Tamandua tetradactyla: one gene and its partner. Each later gene encodes a partner of the first gene's protein in a complex. Links are inferred from orthologs where the notes say so. Each region holds a gene or a part of one and is shown on either strand. Other genes may lie near its edges.

Region 1 (7,711 bases):
CAAGTTTTGTGCTTGGGAAAGGATATGGTGAGCCTGGGACATCTTATTGGGCCAGAAAGCAAGAAAGTGTTCAAAGACTAATAATGCCATGTCAAAAGGACAAAGGAACCAGGTTAAAGAGGTGCCTGCTGACCATGTTGGGGACAAACTAAAAGGAATAATGATAGGTATGTGCACTTTGTGAAAAGTCACTGAGGCTGTACATTTATGATTTGTGCACTTCTCTGCAAATATTTCAATTTTAAAAATTTACTAAATAAATAGAATAAACCCCTAGAATCTTCAAAAAAAAGTGACAGTACTAGATCCCAACACACTGATTTATTTTTTTAAATCCTTATGTCCACAGTAATACAAGAAAGAGATAAAGAAAAAGAATGAATGAAAGGGAGGGAAAATAGAGAGAGAAGGCTCTTCTTTCAGAATGCCAGTAATAAATAAAAAAGGAATAATAAAATTAGAACATCACCATTTTGCAACCCCCAGTATAACAACTAAGATAAAATCAACCATGAACACTAAAACCATTGAATAAAAGTATGGAGGAAGTAGTATATTCACACTACCTAAAAGTATAACCCTCCAAATTACTTGTTAATTACAAACAGAAAAAAAATGAACTTTTACAACTGAGAAATGAAATTTAGCAGCACCAAGAGTGGGACAATATGATTATATGTGCCTCCTGATATAAAAATGGGTATATAACAAGGGGTATGCAACATCATTTATGTAGGATTTTTTCCAAAAATATGTATCCTCTTTATGAGTTTTATGAGACTACAAAAAGAAAAACCTGGAATGTGGTACATTCTACAACACTATGTGATAAACAACAACAACAACAACAAAAAAAAAGGATGGGAGACTCTCCTAAATTAAAAGAGACTAAAAAGACACAACAAACAGATGCAATGCACAAACACAGACTGGATCCTGGATCAAACAAAACAAATCAGCAAGGCTTTTTTTTTTCTCTTTGACAACTGGGGAAATTTGAAAAGTATATTAGATGATGCTACTATTGCAATGTCAACTCTCTAAGTGTGATAACTGTGGTTAGGTAGGAGAAATGTTCTTATTCTTAGGAGATACATGCTGATATATTTAGAGGCAAAGTGTCAGGACATCTGCATCTAACTTTCAAAAGGTTTAGCAAAAAAAAAAAAAAAAAAAAAAAGCACTGGGAGGAGAGGGAGGTACGACTATAAAGGGGTAGCCTGAGGGAGATCTTTGCGGTCACAGAATAGTTCTGTATCTCAGTTGTTTTGGTAGTTACATGAATCTACATATGTGATAAAATGGCATAGAACTATACACACAAATGTGTACAAATGTCAATTTACTGGTTTGACACTTTACAACAGTTATTTAAAACACAACCATTGGTGAAAACTTGGTGAAGGGTACACAGAACCTCTCTCTACTATTTTTGCAAGTTCCTGTGACTGTGATTATTTCAAAATAAAATACATACATTTTTAAAAGTATAGATATATACATCTTTATATGTATTAGAAAAGAGAAAGCAAATGTGGCAACACGTCACTATTGGTGAATGTAGATAAGTATCTAGTGTTCATATACTAGTCCTTTAATTTTTTTACTGATTTGAACATTTTGGAAAGTCTTAAAGAATATTATTAAATAAATAGTGGTATAATTGACTCACAGGTATGGCAAAAATCGTGAGGGTAAAACTCATGACTGATTAAAATGTGGAAAACACTAACGCAGTGTTTTCGTATAAGGTATTTTCATATACTGTATTTCATTTAAACCTCTCACAACCCTGTGTGATACCTCCACCTTGCCCCTATTCCATGAATGTAGGATGTGCCCAAGGTACTCAAGGAGTGAGTGGTTGAGCCAGAGTCCAATTCAAGCCCAAACCTCTTTCTATTGCCACCATTTTACTGCCTCGCTATAAAGTTGTACCAAAGAAACATATAGTTCTAAAAACAAATATTAGTAGAGAACACCGCAGAACACGACAGGCTTCTGACACTCACTTTTGGTTGGTCAGATATCGATCCCAGCCGCGAATAATATTGCCATACATCTGAGTGTCTTCCAGGTAGCTCCCTTCAAAAGCATAGATCTGTCTCTCCAGGTTTGCCAATGTTTCCTGGGAGATGAAAAACATGGACACGGATAATGCCTGTTAAATGCAAACATTAAGTCTGCCCAAACTGAAATCTGGATATGAGACAAAGATCTGTGCTCAAGCACACTAAACCACCCTTGTGGAGAGACTGATGATAATGGAGAGGGGCAGGCTTTTCAGGATGAGGGCAGTCTTGACCTTTTGGACATAACGACCCCTTGAGAATGTAGAGTCAGTCCTCAGTAAAAAACGCATACACATGTAAAAATCCGCATATATTTCAGAAGGTTCATGGACCCGGGCTGAAGCAGAACGTGGGCAGCCTTCACTACCACGCACAAAAGGTCTCGCCACCAGGGAGAGGGAAGAGTGGGCAGTCTTCCTGAGCCTACTCGCTTCCCTCCAGGTTGACTCAGAAAGGCTGCCAGCATTGGGCTGCCAGTTGCTATGGAAACTTGGAAGGATAGGTTCAGGTGATACGGGCCTCCCGGACGCCCAAACCAAAACACGGGAGGGGAGAGCAGTCAGTCTCCAAGGTGCACAGGACCCTGGGTGCACGTCACAACTGCCAGCTCCATAGACCGAGTCCTCTCCCCTCGCCTGTCACCTTCTAGATGTGCAATACCCCATCCAACGAATCTACTCCTAGTCCCCAAAAGGACAGAACCCCCGACCATCCTCCAAAGGTCAGACAGTATCCCCTTCCCACACCCTCCTCGTACCCCACCTCCCCAAAATCCAGGGGCAAATCTGAGCCCCCCGCCCCCCCACACACACAGCCCATGGACACGCCCGCCTACCTTCACCCCTCCAAGATCGCGTACACGTCCGCCCTCACCCACCCCCAAGGGCCACGGACACGCCCGTCCCCACTCCCCAGGCTCACACACACTCGCCCTTTCTACAGCGCCCACACACAGCCCGCCCCCTCCCCAAAGGCGCCTTCCTTCCTCCACGCCCCTCCTTTCTCCAACCCCTCCTTCTCCCCGGCTCCCGCGCCCCGCCCCCCGGCCCGAGGCCCGGCCCCGGGTCCCAGCTCCGAACCCGAACAACCGGAAAGCAGAGGCGGCCGCGGGCCACGGAATGGCAGCCGGGTCTCAGGCCGCCGGCGTCCCAGCCCGCCGCTGCGCCCCCGGAGTAACGGCCAGACGCCGCCGGGCTGGCGCCCGGGGGAGGGGGTTGGAGCGGAGCCCCGACCTGGGCGCCCCCGGCCCCCGACGCTCACCGCCAGCTCCTGCTTCCGTTTCACGAGCTCGGCCAGCTCCCGCCGGGTGTCGGGGATCTGAGGAGGCGCCGCCTTGTTGTGCATCGCCATGTTGGGCTAAGGCGGGCGGCGGCGGCGGCGCGAAGCTAGGGGCGGTCCCTGCGCGCTGTCGCGGGTCCGCGAGGGGGCGCCCCGCCGCCGCCCTGCGCCTGCGCGCGCGGCTTCCGGAGCCGCTCGTCCAGCCGCGTTCTGGCATTTGGTTCTCGCTGGCCCTGCTGAGAGAATCCCACTCGTCTGGTGTTCTGCTCCTAGATTGACGGCTGGCCTTTGCAGATATCACAAACTCACCATGCCCCCAAACAGGCTCTTCCTTAAACTTCCGCAGTCTCTTCTTCGGTGAATAATTTTCATTATCCTTCCCAGTTGCCTAAATCAAAAACCTGGGATCACCCTCACTCTCCCTCACCCCTTTAACCTAATCCCATTTCCAAGCCCTGTGGACGCAACTCCAGAAGAGCTCTTAAACTGTTTGCTTCTGTCCATCCCCTCTGCTGCTTTCCTTCTTGCCCTATTTTTAAAAAATATTTTATTGAGATACCTTCAGGCACCACACAGTCCATCCCAAGTATACAATTTGGTATGACGATATCATCACATATTTGTGTATTCAATACCATGATCATTTTTGGAACATTTGCATCATTCCAGAAAAAAGAAAGTCAAAATAAAAACTCCATACATTCCATATCCTTTACCCCTCCCTCTCATTCAGCACTAGTTTGCAATCTACCCCAATTTTTTTACTCCTTTCCCACCCCCTATTATTTATTATTTTGTGTATTTATTTATTTATTTATTTATTTATTTATTTATTTATTTTTACAAGGGAAGACACCGGAAAACGAACCCGGGTCTCCGTCATGACAGGCCAGAACTCTGCCACTACCCTGTTTTTTTTGTTTGTTTGTTTTTAATTCATCTGTCCGTACCTTGGATAAAGGGAGTGTCAGCCACAAGGTTTTCACAATCACACAGTCACATTGTGAAAGCTATACAGTTATACATTTGTCTTCAAGAATCAAGGCTGCTGTAATGACTTGTGAGGCATGCAACTAGGTGTATGATATTTAATGAAATGTCAGGAACAAAAAGACAAATATTATGTCTCAGTCATATGGACTATAATATAAAAACTTGGTGAACTAAAGTCAAGAACATAGGTTATCAGGTTGGGGCCTATTGTAAAGGGTCCCAGATTGTAAGCTCTTGCAGTAGTCACATATATTCAGGAGTTGTAACAGCTATTTCTAAATTCTGAGATCCTGAGCTGTTTGTTTGTAACCTGGTTGTTCCCAGAAACTTCAGGTATTTATGTGACACCTGCGACTCAAAGAGTTAGAGCTATGAAGCTATGAAAGTCAGCAGTACCCCGTATAGGAACTGTTTAAAAAGTTGAAAAAGTAATCAGACTTTGAGTAGAGAGGTGAATGAAGCTGATCTAGATAGGACTAAGGTAGATCAGAACACAGGGTAAGGATGACATCCTACATATTTTAAAACTTCAACTTCTGTGTAAGCAGTGGGGACAACCAAATCAATAGGCTGAGCCCTTGATTTGGGGGTTTGCCCCCATGAAACTTATTCCAGCAAAGGATCGGCTAAGCTTACTTAAAATTAGGCCTAAGAGTCACCTCCCAGAGAACCTCTTTTGTTGCTCAAATGTGGCCTCTCTCTCTAAGCCAGCTCAGCAGGTGAACTCACTGCCCTCCATCCCCCATGGGACATGACTTGCAGGGGTATAAATCTCCCTGGCTGGCATCAAGTGATTGAGAAAACATTCTTGACCAAAAGGGGAAAAGAGAAATGAAACAAAGTGCCAGTGGCTGAGAGATTTTAAACAGACTCAAGAGGTTACCCTGAAGGTTATTTTTATGCATTATATAGTTATCCCTTTTTACTTTATGATGTATTGGAGTGGCTGCAGGGAACTACCTGAAACTGTTGAGCTGTGTTCCAGTAGCCTTGATTCTTGAAGACAAATGTATAAAGATACAAATTTTACAATGTAATGCTGTGATTGTGAAAACCTGTGTCTGATACTCCTTTTATTCAGGGTATGGACAGATGAGTGAAAAAATATATATGGATAAAAATAAATAAATAATGGGGATGTGGACAAAGGGTAAAATAAATTGAGTAGATGGAAATACTAGTGGTCAGTGAGGGAGGGGTGAGGAGTATGGTATGTATGAGTTTTTTCTTTTTATATGTTTTTCTGAAATGATGTAAATGTTCTAAAAAAAATGATCATGGTGATGAATACACAACTATGTGATGATATTGTGAGCCATTGATTGTACACCATGTATGGAATGTATGTGTGTGAAGAGTTGTTAAAAAAAGAAAAGGGAAAAAAAAGTTTGGAAAAAGCCTTAGAGCTGAGACAGCCCACACAACCACAGACCTTTGGAGCAGAAGGAGAACATACCCAGGGAAGCCTTATGAAATGAGAAGACAGGAGACAAAGCTAGCGGACATTGCCATGTGCCTTCCCAGCTGACAGAGGTGTTCTGGACCCATTGGCCTTTCTTGAATCAGAGTATCTTTCCCTGGATGCCTTAGTTTGGACATTTTCACAGCTTAGAATTGTAAACTTGCAACTTAACAAACTCCTTTTTTAAAATCCAAAAAAGAGGGAAAAAAAAAGAATCAAGGCTACTGGAATACAGTTCAAGAGTTTCAGGTACTTCCCTCTAGCCACTCCAATACACCATAAACTAAAAACAGTATCTATATGTTGTGTAAGAATAACCTCCAGGATAAACTCTAAACCCTGTTTGAAATCCCTCAGCCGCTGAAACTGTTTTGTCTCATTTCTGTCTTCCCTGTTTTGGTCAAGGTTTTCTCAATCCCATGATGCCAGTCACAGTTCATCCCCAGGAGTTATGTCCCACGTTGCCGGGGAGATTTAGGCCCCTGGAAGTCATATCTCACATAGCAGGGAGATCAGTGAGTTCATCTGCCAAGTTGTTGTTGCCCTATTTTGACTACTTTATTCCAACAGCCTCTTTATTTCCGCTTTCAGACTTCTTTTAACCCATTATCCATAATGGTGCTGGGGTGGTCTTCCAAAAACAAATTTGATGTTGCTACCATGGTTATAAGGCCTTAGACAGACAAGTACGTGTCTGGTTAAGAGTACAAACTGAAATCATAACTACCTGGCTCAACAAATGAAATCAGAAAGAAAGATAGACAATAAAGACTGAGATGGTGATGATATTGTGGATTGCCGACTGTGTGTGTGGAGCGATCAGAGTGGGAATATTTGCGTTTGTTTGGTGTCTTTTGGTATTTAAAAAAATAAAATTAAAAAAAATACTGAGATGGTATAATCTAGGAATGCCTAGAGTGTATAATGATAGTGACTAAATGTACAAATTTAAAAATGTTTTTGCATGAGGAAGAACAAAGGAATGTCATTACTGCAGGGTGCTGAAAATAGATGGTAATTAATATTTAAAATTTTTAACTTATGTATGAGACTAAAGCAAAAAATGTTTATTTGGTGCAAAATTTATATTTTGACTAGTGCATTTCCTAATGTAACTTATGTAGATAGCTTAATTGAACACGATAAGCACATGGAACCTTGAGTAGGGCACGAGATTTTGTTGGTTTGTCCAGAACGATGCCCCAATAAATCCCAGAGTGATTTGAACAGTGAATAAAAAAGTATCTGCAAAGTCCCCTTTGGGGAATAGTGAGAAAGGGGGAAAATTCAACTTCCCCAAGTTGAATTCTTGATATTCTCACAAGCAATGGGGACAACCAAAGCTATAGGCTGAGCCCCCAGTCTTGGGGGTTGTTCCTATGAAACTAAACCCCACAAAGGATAGGTCAAGCCTACTTAAAATTAGGACAAAGAGTCCCCCCCAAGAGAACCTCTTTTTTTGCTCAGATGTGGCCTCTCTCTCCAGCCAATATAACAAGCCAACTCACTGCCCTCCTCCTGTCTATGTGGGACATGACTCCCAGGGGTGTGGACCTTCCTGGCAACGTGGGACAGAAATCCTAGAATGAGCTGAGACTCAGCATCAAGGGATTGAGAAAACCTTCGCGACCAAAGGGGGAAGAGTGAAATGAGACAAAATAAAGTGTCAATGGCTGAGAGATTCCAAACAGAGTCGAGAGATTATCCTGAAGATTATTCTTATGCATTAAATAGATATCACCTTGTTAGTCAAGATGTAATAGAGATTCCAAGAAATGGTCATGATGATGAGTATGCAACTATGTGATGATATTGTGAATTACTGATTATATATGTAGAATGGAATGATCAAAAGTTAAGAATGTTTGCATTTGTTTGGTATTTTTTGGCATTAAAAAATTTTTTT
Region 2 (8,757 bases), on another chromosome or scaffold:
GAGCCGGGAGGAGGAGCCGGAGGTGGCTGCGGGGGGCGCGGGCCCGGCGAAGGAAGGGCAGGAGGCGGTTCGGGCCCGGGACAGCGCCGGGCAATGGGCGTGACACCGGGAGGGGAGAGGTTTAGGGGATGCAGGGAAAGGCAGCTGGACCCTTTGCGGGTTGGGCAGCTGTATACAGGAGAGGTGGTAAGGTTCGGGGAGGGGGTGGGTCCTGGGCCTCTGGAAGCTCGAGCGGAGCCTTCCTGCCCATCTCGCAGACATCCCCATCGTCTGGCAGAACAACTACGCCTCGCCAGGCAGCCCCCCGCCTCCCATCCCTCGGCCGAGAGAAGGGGGTGTCTCAGGGCCCAGTATGGGCGGGAAGGGACCGGAGGGAGCCACAAGTCTGCACCCAGGAGGGGAGGAGGCGGGCGGGAGCCGCTCCGCAGGCGCAGGCGAGTGGGTGGGAAGGAGGGAGGGAGAAAGGGAGGAAGGAGGTGAGGCTGGGAAGATGCCACTGCCGGGGGCGGGGCGGGGCCGGTGATCCGGCAGAGGGACTGCAGCGGTTTTGGTGGGGGCGGGGGCTGCAATGTCACTCATGTGGGGGTCAGGTGTGTGCGTCCCAGGCAGGGGCCGCCACGCGCCTACATCTTCCCGGTACCACCCTGGGCGCCGGGGGGGAGGCGGAGAGCAGAGGGACTGCGGAGCCGTCCCCGGAGCGGGACGCGAACCGGCAGAGTTGGGAGAAGGTAAACAACGGCCACGCCCCCTGCCGTCGCCCCGCGGGCGCGCACCCGCCGCCCCAGCAGCCGCCGGTACATTTCCACTCTCCCAGCGCCTCTACCCCGCCGGACTCCCGCGCAGCCCCGGAGGGGTGGTTGCCCCCAACTCCAGCCCGCGCCTCGGCGCCGGGGCCGTGCACTTCCCCCCACTCACCTGGAAAGAGCGTCTCCCGCATATCCAAAAAACTGTCTTAATTTGTGCAGAGCCTCGGCGCCCGGGAGCCAAGCATGCTGCCCCCGCGTGCAGCTCCCGCGTGCACCCAGCCCGGAGAGGGGGCGAGAGAGCGGAGGCGGTGGCCTCCGGAAGGTGTCTGGGGCCGGACTAGCTGCACGTGAGCCCAGTGCGGGGTCATGTGCACCAGCTCAGCCCGGTTCGGCGCCCGGACGTGCTGCGTATCAACAAAATGAAACTCGGGGCGACAGGAGGGCAGATAGCTCCAGGTCCTGAGCAGCGCCCCCCCCCCCCGGGGGGCAGTCGACAGCCGCCCCCCACCCCCGCACCCTTTACCCACCGCAGCCCCTGCTCCCGGCCCGAGCCGCGGGGCAAGTTGCAGCACCGGCGCGCCCCCGCCCGCCCGCGCCCCCTCGCCGGTCCGGGGGCGCTTTGCCGCAGTCATTAATAAAGAAGGTCGCCAAGCTCACCCTTCCAAAAGTTGTTGTTGCATGCGCCCCTCTCAGCCTCCCCGCACTGTACTCTTTAAAACACGACTGACCAACATGCGCAATCTCTCTCCCCAGTGCTGTGCATCTCACCACCCCCCCTACCCCCCGCCCCCCGGCGCTGGCTTCCTAGAACAGGCAGCCAGCAGGAGAGGGAGCGAGTGAGCAAGAGAGAGCGAGGGAGCGAGAAGCGCTGGCAGATCTGTTGCAAAAACACAAAATAATGCCGTAGAGATGCGCAGGGCCCTTCCACTGGAGGGTGGATCTTACCTTGCTCCGCTGTGCCCTCCCGAGGGGCGCTGCCCTCGGCTACGCGCCACAGCGGGGGCCGGCGCGGAAAGGATGCTCCCGAAACCCGGAGCTCCTGGGGCCGGCGCGGAAGGGCGGGGGGCGCGCATCCATCCGGGGTCGCGGCGAGGGAGGGAGCCGGGCCCGCGGCCTCCCCAGCCACGGACGATCAACCCGCGAGACCCCAGCGGGCGCGGCTAGGAGTGGGCGCAAAGTAACTCCATGGACGCTACTCGCTTCCCCCCACCACCTCCAAATAGCCTCCAACTGCGATGGCCGCGGTCGGCACCATTTACCAACCCCCTGTGTATGTTTCTGTTTCTTTTTAAACCAAGACTTCCTTGTGATCTCTTTAGAAAAAAAAAAAAATGTGTTGAGGTGGGGGTGGGGGTGGGGGTAGGGGCGGGCGGGAGGAGCGAGGGTGGGGGAGTAGCCACTTTTTTTCTTATTCACTCCGATCTCCGCTCTTGACACTCCTGTCGTCCGACACCCCCCCCCCCCGTACCCCCCCACACCCAGTTGTTTGGCTCCCGCGGTGCATCCAGGTAGCGTTGCGGGCCCCGCAGGGAGGGTGCCCTGTCGAGCCGCCCGCCTACCGACACCCCGGGCTCGGGCTCCCCACCGGCTCGGGGGCGCCCCCAGCCCGCCCTGTCCCCAGGGCCGGGCCTGAGCGGCGGCTGCGCCCGTGCAAGTCCCATCAGGTCTGCTCACACTTCACACACTCACACACATACTCCGCCCCTCCACTCTCTCACTCACACTTTCTGCTCACACCCCGCCCCCTTCGCTCCCCAGACCCGGGCGGCGCCCCCCGCAACCTTAAAAAAAAAAAAGAAGCAAGCTTATACTTAAAAAAATCTTTTGGCGCCATATTAATGACGTACTTAAAATTTGCCATTTCTCCCTGCGTCAAAAAGACGTTTCTTCGCAAATAACAGCCTGGAGGCGACGCTCGCGGAGGGAACGAGGTTTGCACTGAGCACCCGCCCCCCAGGGCTCCAGCGCTAGAAGCCCCTCGCCCTAGGCCTTACTCTGGAATCACTGGTTTTAAAATGCGAATTGAATAAATCGCGTGGCGTTTCCCAGCCCAGCGCTAGAAGTGAGCAGAAAGTGCTAGCAGGAGCGGAGGGGAGGGGCGCGCGCGAGTCTGGGGGAGGGGGCGCGGCCCTCCTCCCCCACCCACGCCAGATGGAAACTAACGTCCCCGGCGGGGGGAAACTTGAAATTGTAGGCGACCTCAAAAAAAGGAGGGGCGGTCGGTAGAGAGGGTCCCTCGCCGGCTCGCCGCCCCTTACCCCCGCTCGGGTGTCTCCTGGCGCCCGGCGCTGCCCCGCATTTCCGGGGGGTGGGGTGGGGTGGGGAAGGCGGTGATGGGTGGGTGGGTGGCTGCACATCCTGACCCCCGTGGGAGTTTGCATTTGCCCCGGAGTAACCCCGTCTCCCTAGTTCACCACCCCGTTCCCCGAGGCTCCGAAAGGGTTAAAAAACGAGGGGCAACTTCCAAGGGCTGGCACTTGGCGAGGAAGCAGGGCGCCCCTCTCCCCACCCTTCGCCTCCTCGCCCCTCCTCCTCCGGCTCCAGTTCCCGACTTGACCTTGTGGTGCACAAACAGTGCGCTCGGATCCTCGCAGTTTCTGGAAGAAGAGCCTGCGATCGCCGGGCAGGCGGGCTGGCGGGCGGCTGCGGGGCGGTGGCGGGGCCTGGGGGCCGATCCCGGAGCCGCGGGCCACACCCACCCGGGCCGCTGCGCCCGCCGCGCTCACCTTCTCTCGAGGAAGGAGAAAGGTTGGCCTCCGGGATGGGCACTAGGGAGGTGGGGTGGGGGCAGTTGCATCCTCCCGCGGATGCCCACAGCCGTGGACGAGGTAGTCTGTGGTGTGGCCTTGGGCAGGGCAGAGGAGGAGGGAGACCTAGGAGCTGGGGCCAACATCTCCAAAGCATCACTGCCAACTTTTTCTTCCCCCCCCCCCATCCCACGTCCTTCTTGGCAGCCCCTCAGAGATGATCCAATCTTTTTTTTTTCCCGGTTCACCTTTGGCAGTTCACCTATGGCACCAGGGTAAACTGAGAAGTGGCTCAGGAACCACCTTATCTCTCCAAGACTGAAGATTGTTTATTCTTTCTTTCCCCTCCACCCCCTTCCAAGGAAAGATAAATATTCAATTTACATAACATGACATTTATGTGACAATTAAGAAGATTCCCCGATGGAATATTGTGAACACATTTGCTTATAGGAGAAATAAATCTAATAATAAACAAACTCGTAATAACAGCACAAATCCTCTGACAGAGAGGATTGTTTACACAACAAAGAGGGAGATGATTAAAAATGCTGAAATAAGCACTTTTTGCAACCAGAAAGAACTATGATCTCAAAGGGAGTCCCTGCAACACTTCTCCTCCTTGGCCTTCATTCACAAGATGGGGTGTGGGAGGTGCGGGAGCTTATCCGGCAAGACTAGGGGCAGGTGGACTAACCATCACCTGGCTCTGGCTCTCCATGATCAGTGGATAGGATTTTCCCAAGCCTAGGTCAGGGCCTGCAAAACAGGTGTCATGGGCTGTGGTGCAGTAACAAAATGGTTAAATTCTTGGATTCTAGTCCTGGCTCTGCCTCTCAGAAGCTGTGTGGTATGGGCAAGTGAGTTCATCTTTCTAGTTCTCTTCTTCTTCATCTGTAGAAGGGGGCAGTTGTGGGTTCCTGAGGTCATACGTCCGTGTGGACGTGTGTGTGTACATGTGCATTTGGACGTGTGTGTGTGTACATGTGCAGGCACATGCAGGTAAACAGGGCCTGGCTCAGAGCACACGTGTGCAGTAAGCAGCCCACTCCCCCATCTACTGTATGCTGTTTGGAAAGGTTAATGTGCTCTCCCAAAACTCTTAACTCTGAAAAACTGGGGGACGATTATTTCTGTCAACACACAAAAGGGAGGGCCAGGATAAAAAAACATAATGGACAGTGGCCTTGATGGTCAAGGTCCAGGCAGCACTCTCAGCCACACTGGAGTTGGGGGTCACCAATTTACAGCAGCCCAGTCCCGGGGATCTGCTCTGCTTGGGCCTGGCTCCGAAGGATTTGTATGTAGGAGAGGACAAGTCAGGCTGTCTGCTCCCAGGTGTCAGGATCCCATGATCTAAAATGGGGAAATACCTTAGTAGGCAATTATAAAATGACCTAGAGGAGGGGGTCACCATTTCTAGAGCGCCTGCTTTGTGCTGGCAAACCCCCCTTCTTAGCTGTTCACCAAGGTGTAGTAACTTACCAACGGTCCCATGGCTTGTAAGTGTTGGCAGAATTGGCACCTAGATCTACCTGACCCCAAGATCTGTGCGGCTCTCATTTTACTACCCTGCCAGAAATAGAAAGTACTGGTATGATTGGTTTGACTCCGGTTGAGGCCTGATTTGGCAAAGAGAGCAGGATTTTACTGGCTGCATTTTGACCCTGAGGTGGTTCTCTAAGCTTGGGTGAGCCCTCCATCCCGTGAAGGGTCCTTGGGAGATACCTGTGGTTTAAGTCTGGAAATCCCATCAGGACCCTTGGGTTCTCATTAACCTTAGAAATGTTAACATAATGATAATGATGAAGCTAATTTATAACTACTTAATCTTTATTAAAAGTTTCATAAATCATTAACTTTGCAGAATACGAAAAGAAAAGAAACAGAGTTCTTGGAGATGTAATCATTTGTTGACTCACATATATTTATTGAGTGCCTCCCGTACGCCCGGTACTCTTCTGCTTGCTGAGGGCACACGGCACGAACAAAACAGACAGATAAAAATCCTTGCTCTGATCTCATGGGACTTACTTTCTAGTGGAAGGAGATACATAATGTATATACTCTGTGTTTGAAGGTAGGTGCCATGGAGAAAATTAAGTAGAATTGGGTGATAGGGAGATAGCAGTTCCTTAGGGAGACCTCACTGAGATGTGGCTTTTGAGCAAAAGAAGGTAAAGGAGTGAGCAGTAAGGGTTAATGGGGAAAGATCATTCTAGTCAGGGGTTCTTAACCTGGATTCTTAAGAGGTCTAAGAAGTCCTTTAAGAGATCTCTGGATAAAATTCAGGGGTTCTTGACCTTAGATGGGAAAAAAATGTAATTTAGCATAATTTTCAATTATGAATTCAGAAACAAATCACAGTGGTGTTAGCAACTGTGACGCTGTTGCTAGTAGAAATCAGATATTTTTATATCACATTACAGTTGTTGCGGCTATCTGAAAATATCATTACACTCACCGCTATTTCAAAATTAGGCTGCTATGTCTTGTAATTTAAATGAATTAAGAAGCGTATGTATTACTATATAGTACATTTAAAAATATTTTGAGAGTGATTTTCAATATAATTGATTTTCTTTGTAATTTATGTAACTTATTGTAAGGATTAACAATTATTGTACTCAGTTGTCCACAGCCTTCACAGAAGCCAGAGGAGGAGTCCATGGCACCAAAGATGGTTGAGAACCACTGTCACTGCAAAGAGACCAGCAAACACAAATGCCCCGAGGCATTAAGGTGCTTAATATGCATAAGGAAGAGTTATCTAGGGCCTTGTAGGGAGTGGTTAGGAATTTAGCTTTTTGCTGGAATTGAGACAGGAAGCACTGGAGAGTTTTAAGCAGAACAGCGACATGACCTGAGGTACTGGGTTTTACAGGTCACTCTGGCTGCTGTGTAGCAGACAGACCGAAGGGGCCAGGATATTGGCAGGAAGACCAGTTAAGAGGTCACTTCAACACACCAGGTAAGAGATGTGCTTAAGATGGATCATCAGGGGGTAGCAGTGAAAGTGATAAGAAGTTGACATCTGTATGTATTTTAAAGGTAACTCTATCAAGATTTACTGATGGATTAGCTGTGGGGTATGAGAGAGGGAAAGAAGTTGAAGATGACTTCAAGGGTTTTGCCTTGAACCAGTGGAAGAATCGAGTTGCCGTGAACTGATATGGGGGAGATGTGAAAGGAGTAGGCTTTGGGGGGAGGCTGAAGAGCTCAGCCTTGGACATGTTAAGATTGAGATGCCTGTTAGCATTTAAGTGCTGCCATTCCATAGACAGCTAGACCGGGCAGTCTCAGCTCAGGGCTAAAGAGAGTGGTCAGCAGATGGATGGTATTTCATGCTATCTGAGATCACCAAAGAAGTGAGGGTAGACAGAGAAGAAGCCCAGCGATGATGCCTTTGGACACTGCAAGGTTAAGAGGTCTGGGAAATGACGAGGAATCAGCAAAGATGTTTTTGTGTTTTGTTTTTTTTTTTAAAAAAGCATCCAGATCGCTAGGAAGAAAGTCCAAAGAATATGATGTCCTGGAAGTCCTAGTGAAAAGAGAGTTTCAAAAGGGAGGAAAGCCCTATGTTCAAAGCTACAAAGCAGTCAGAAAGAGAAAGGTTGAGAATTCACCGGATTCAGCAACGCGGATGTCATTGGTGACCTTGACAAGAGTCGTGTCAGTGGAGTGGTGCAGACGAAAGCTTGATTGGAGTGAGTTCAAGAGAGTGGGGAGGTTTATACTTGTTACTAGCTAGTTCCAAGATGCTACCTAAAAATAAAATGCCCTTCATTTGTATATATCTTTGTGAATGTGTGTAAAGATGGATAACCAAAAATCTGTAGAAATTCAATTCAAACAGCTTTTGTTGAGGATCTTCCCCATGGTGGCTCGGTGCTGGATGCCACGGATACAGTGAGAAATAAAACACATTCACTGACTTGCAAGAGTTCACAGGAGTTCACAGTCTACCAAACCTCTTTGACACCTGAAATACACACAAGGCAATGCATAGGGCTAATTATATACAGTCTGTCTGGGCATCAGCTTTTCCAGTGTAGTAGGCATTACGTTTAAGACTGAATTCCAGGGCCAGGAAGTCCTGGGTTGGAATCTGGTCTCTGTCATTCACCAGCTCTGTGACTTTGCATGAGTTACTTAACCTCTCTGTGCTTTGGTTTCCTCTTCTGTAAGCTAGAGATGCAACCATTTCCAAATTACTGGAAATAATTGTCTGGGATGCTTGTTTAAAATGCAGATTGCTGGATCTCATCTTCAAAGGTTCTCAAGGGGTAGGTCCAGAGCAGGGCCCAGGAATCTGCATTTTTAACCAGCAGCTGGTCATTCTTGATGCCCTAGGCCTTGAACCACACTTTGTAAAACACTGAGAGCATGCCCACACGGTACTGAGCACTGGTCTGGCCCTCAGTAGACAATAGCCACTCCTCCAGGAGCCCTTGTGAGGAACAAAAAGCCTTTCAAACAGCTCGATGTGTGTGTCCAGAGGCACAGGTCCAGCATATCCTGAGCACCCTAAATGGAGAAACCCACATGAGATTTGGTTAATATTCATTCGCTGAATATTTACTGAGTGCGCCAGGTGGGAAGTCCTCATTCGGCATTCGGATTCCCCGTCCATGTTCACTTGTTGGCTGCTTAAGGCAGTGCCTGTCTAGTGGTGGCATGCAGATACCTCACCTGGGATCTCGTTAAAGTACAGATTATGATATAGTGGGTCTGGGGTGGGGCCTGAGAATCTGCATTTCTAACAAGCTCCAAGATGATGCTGATGCTACTGGTCCACTGCTCACACTTGAAATAGCACAGGTTTGAACAGTTAGGAAAATTGGGTCACAACACTTGCCCTAACCTTAGGGTTCCCAGGGAATTCCTGGGAATCCTGAAGGGGAAGGGTGGAATTAGAGAAGCAATCTGAAGACATATTGATTGCACAGGTACAACTGAGGTTTGCTCACGCTTCCTTCTGTCTCCTATATCTGGGATCCAGTCCTTGCTGCCCTCCCACACCTAGTCAGTGGCATTAGATGGGCTACTTTGAGGGAGGATGGACGTTCATTCTGTTGGTCAGCAAATATTTCCTGGGCACCTACTATGTGCCAAACACTGTGCAAAACACATCATGTGGTGTTGTCAGGAGAGGACAAATCCAGCAGCTTTTCCTTCCTGGGCTCCAGACAGAGGCTGCAGCTGGGTTTTGAGATGGGGGACAGTGGAGGTGGGGGTGGGGTAGGGTAGGGGGTGGTAGCTGC

What was found. The genes of interacting proteins can lie anywhere in the genome.
Region 2: MEAF6 (region 1) and JADE2 share a complex: the UniProt entries of both Homo sapiens proteins name them as parts of the HBO1 complex. The link is inferred for Tamandua tetradactyla from reciprocal best matches to the Homo sapiens genes MEAF6 and JADE2.

Annotation. Positions count from the first base shown.
Region 1 is NC_135328.1:187,800,674-187,808,384, reverse strand, and holds the start of MEAF6 (chromatin modification-related protein MEAF6), read right to left. Parts: upstream 3,498-7,711; 5' UTR 3,423-3,497; coding exon 3,333-3,422; intron 2,561-3,332; exon of another isoform or gene 2,369-2,560; coding exon of another isoform or gene 2,306-2,368; intron 2,129-2,305; coding exon 2,013-2,128; intron 1-2,012.
Region 2 is NC_135346.1:13,590,965-13,599,721, reverse strand, and holds the start of JADE2 (E3 ubiquitin-protein ligase Jade-2), read right to left. Parts: upstream 3,409-8,757; 5' UTR 3,304-3,408; intron 3,040-3,303; exon of another isoform or gene 3,005-3,039; intron 2,980-3,004; exon of another isoform or gene 2,594-2,979; intron 1,801-2,593; exon of another isoform or gene 1,692-1,800; intron 1,674-1,691; exon of another isoform or gene 1,404-1,673; intron 1,101-1,403; exon of another isoform or gene 916-1,100; intron 1-915. UniProt on the Homo sapiens protein: Scaffold subunit of some HBO1 complexes, which have a histone H4 acetyltransferase activity. Acts as an E3 ubiquitin-protein ligase mediating the ubiquitination and subsequent proteasomal degradation of target protein histone demethylase KDM1A.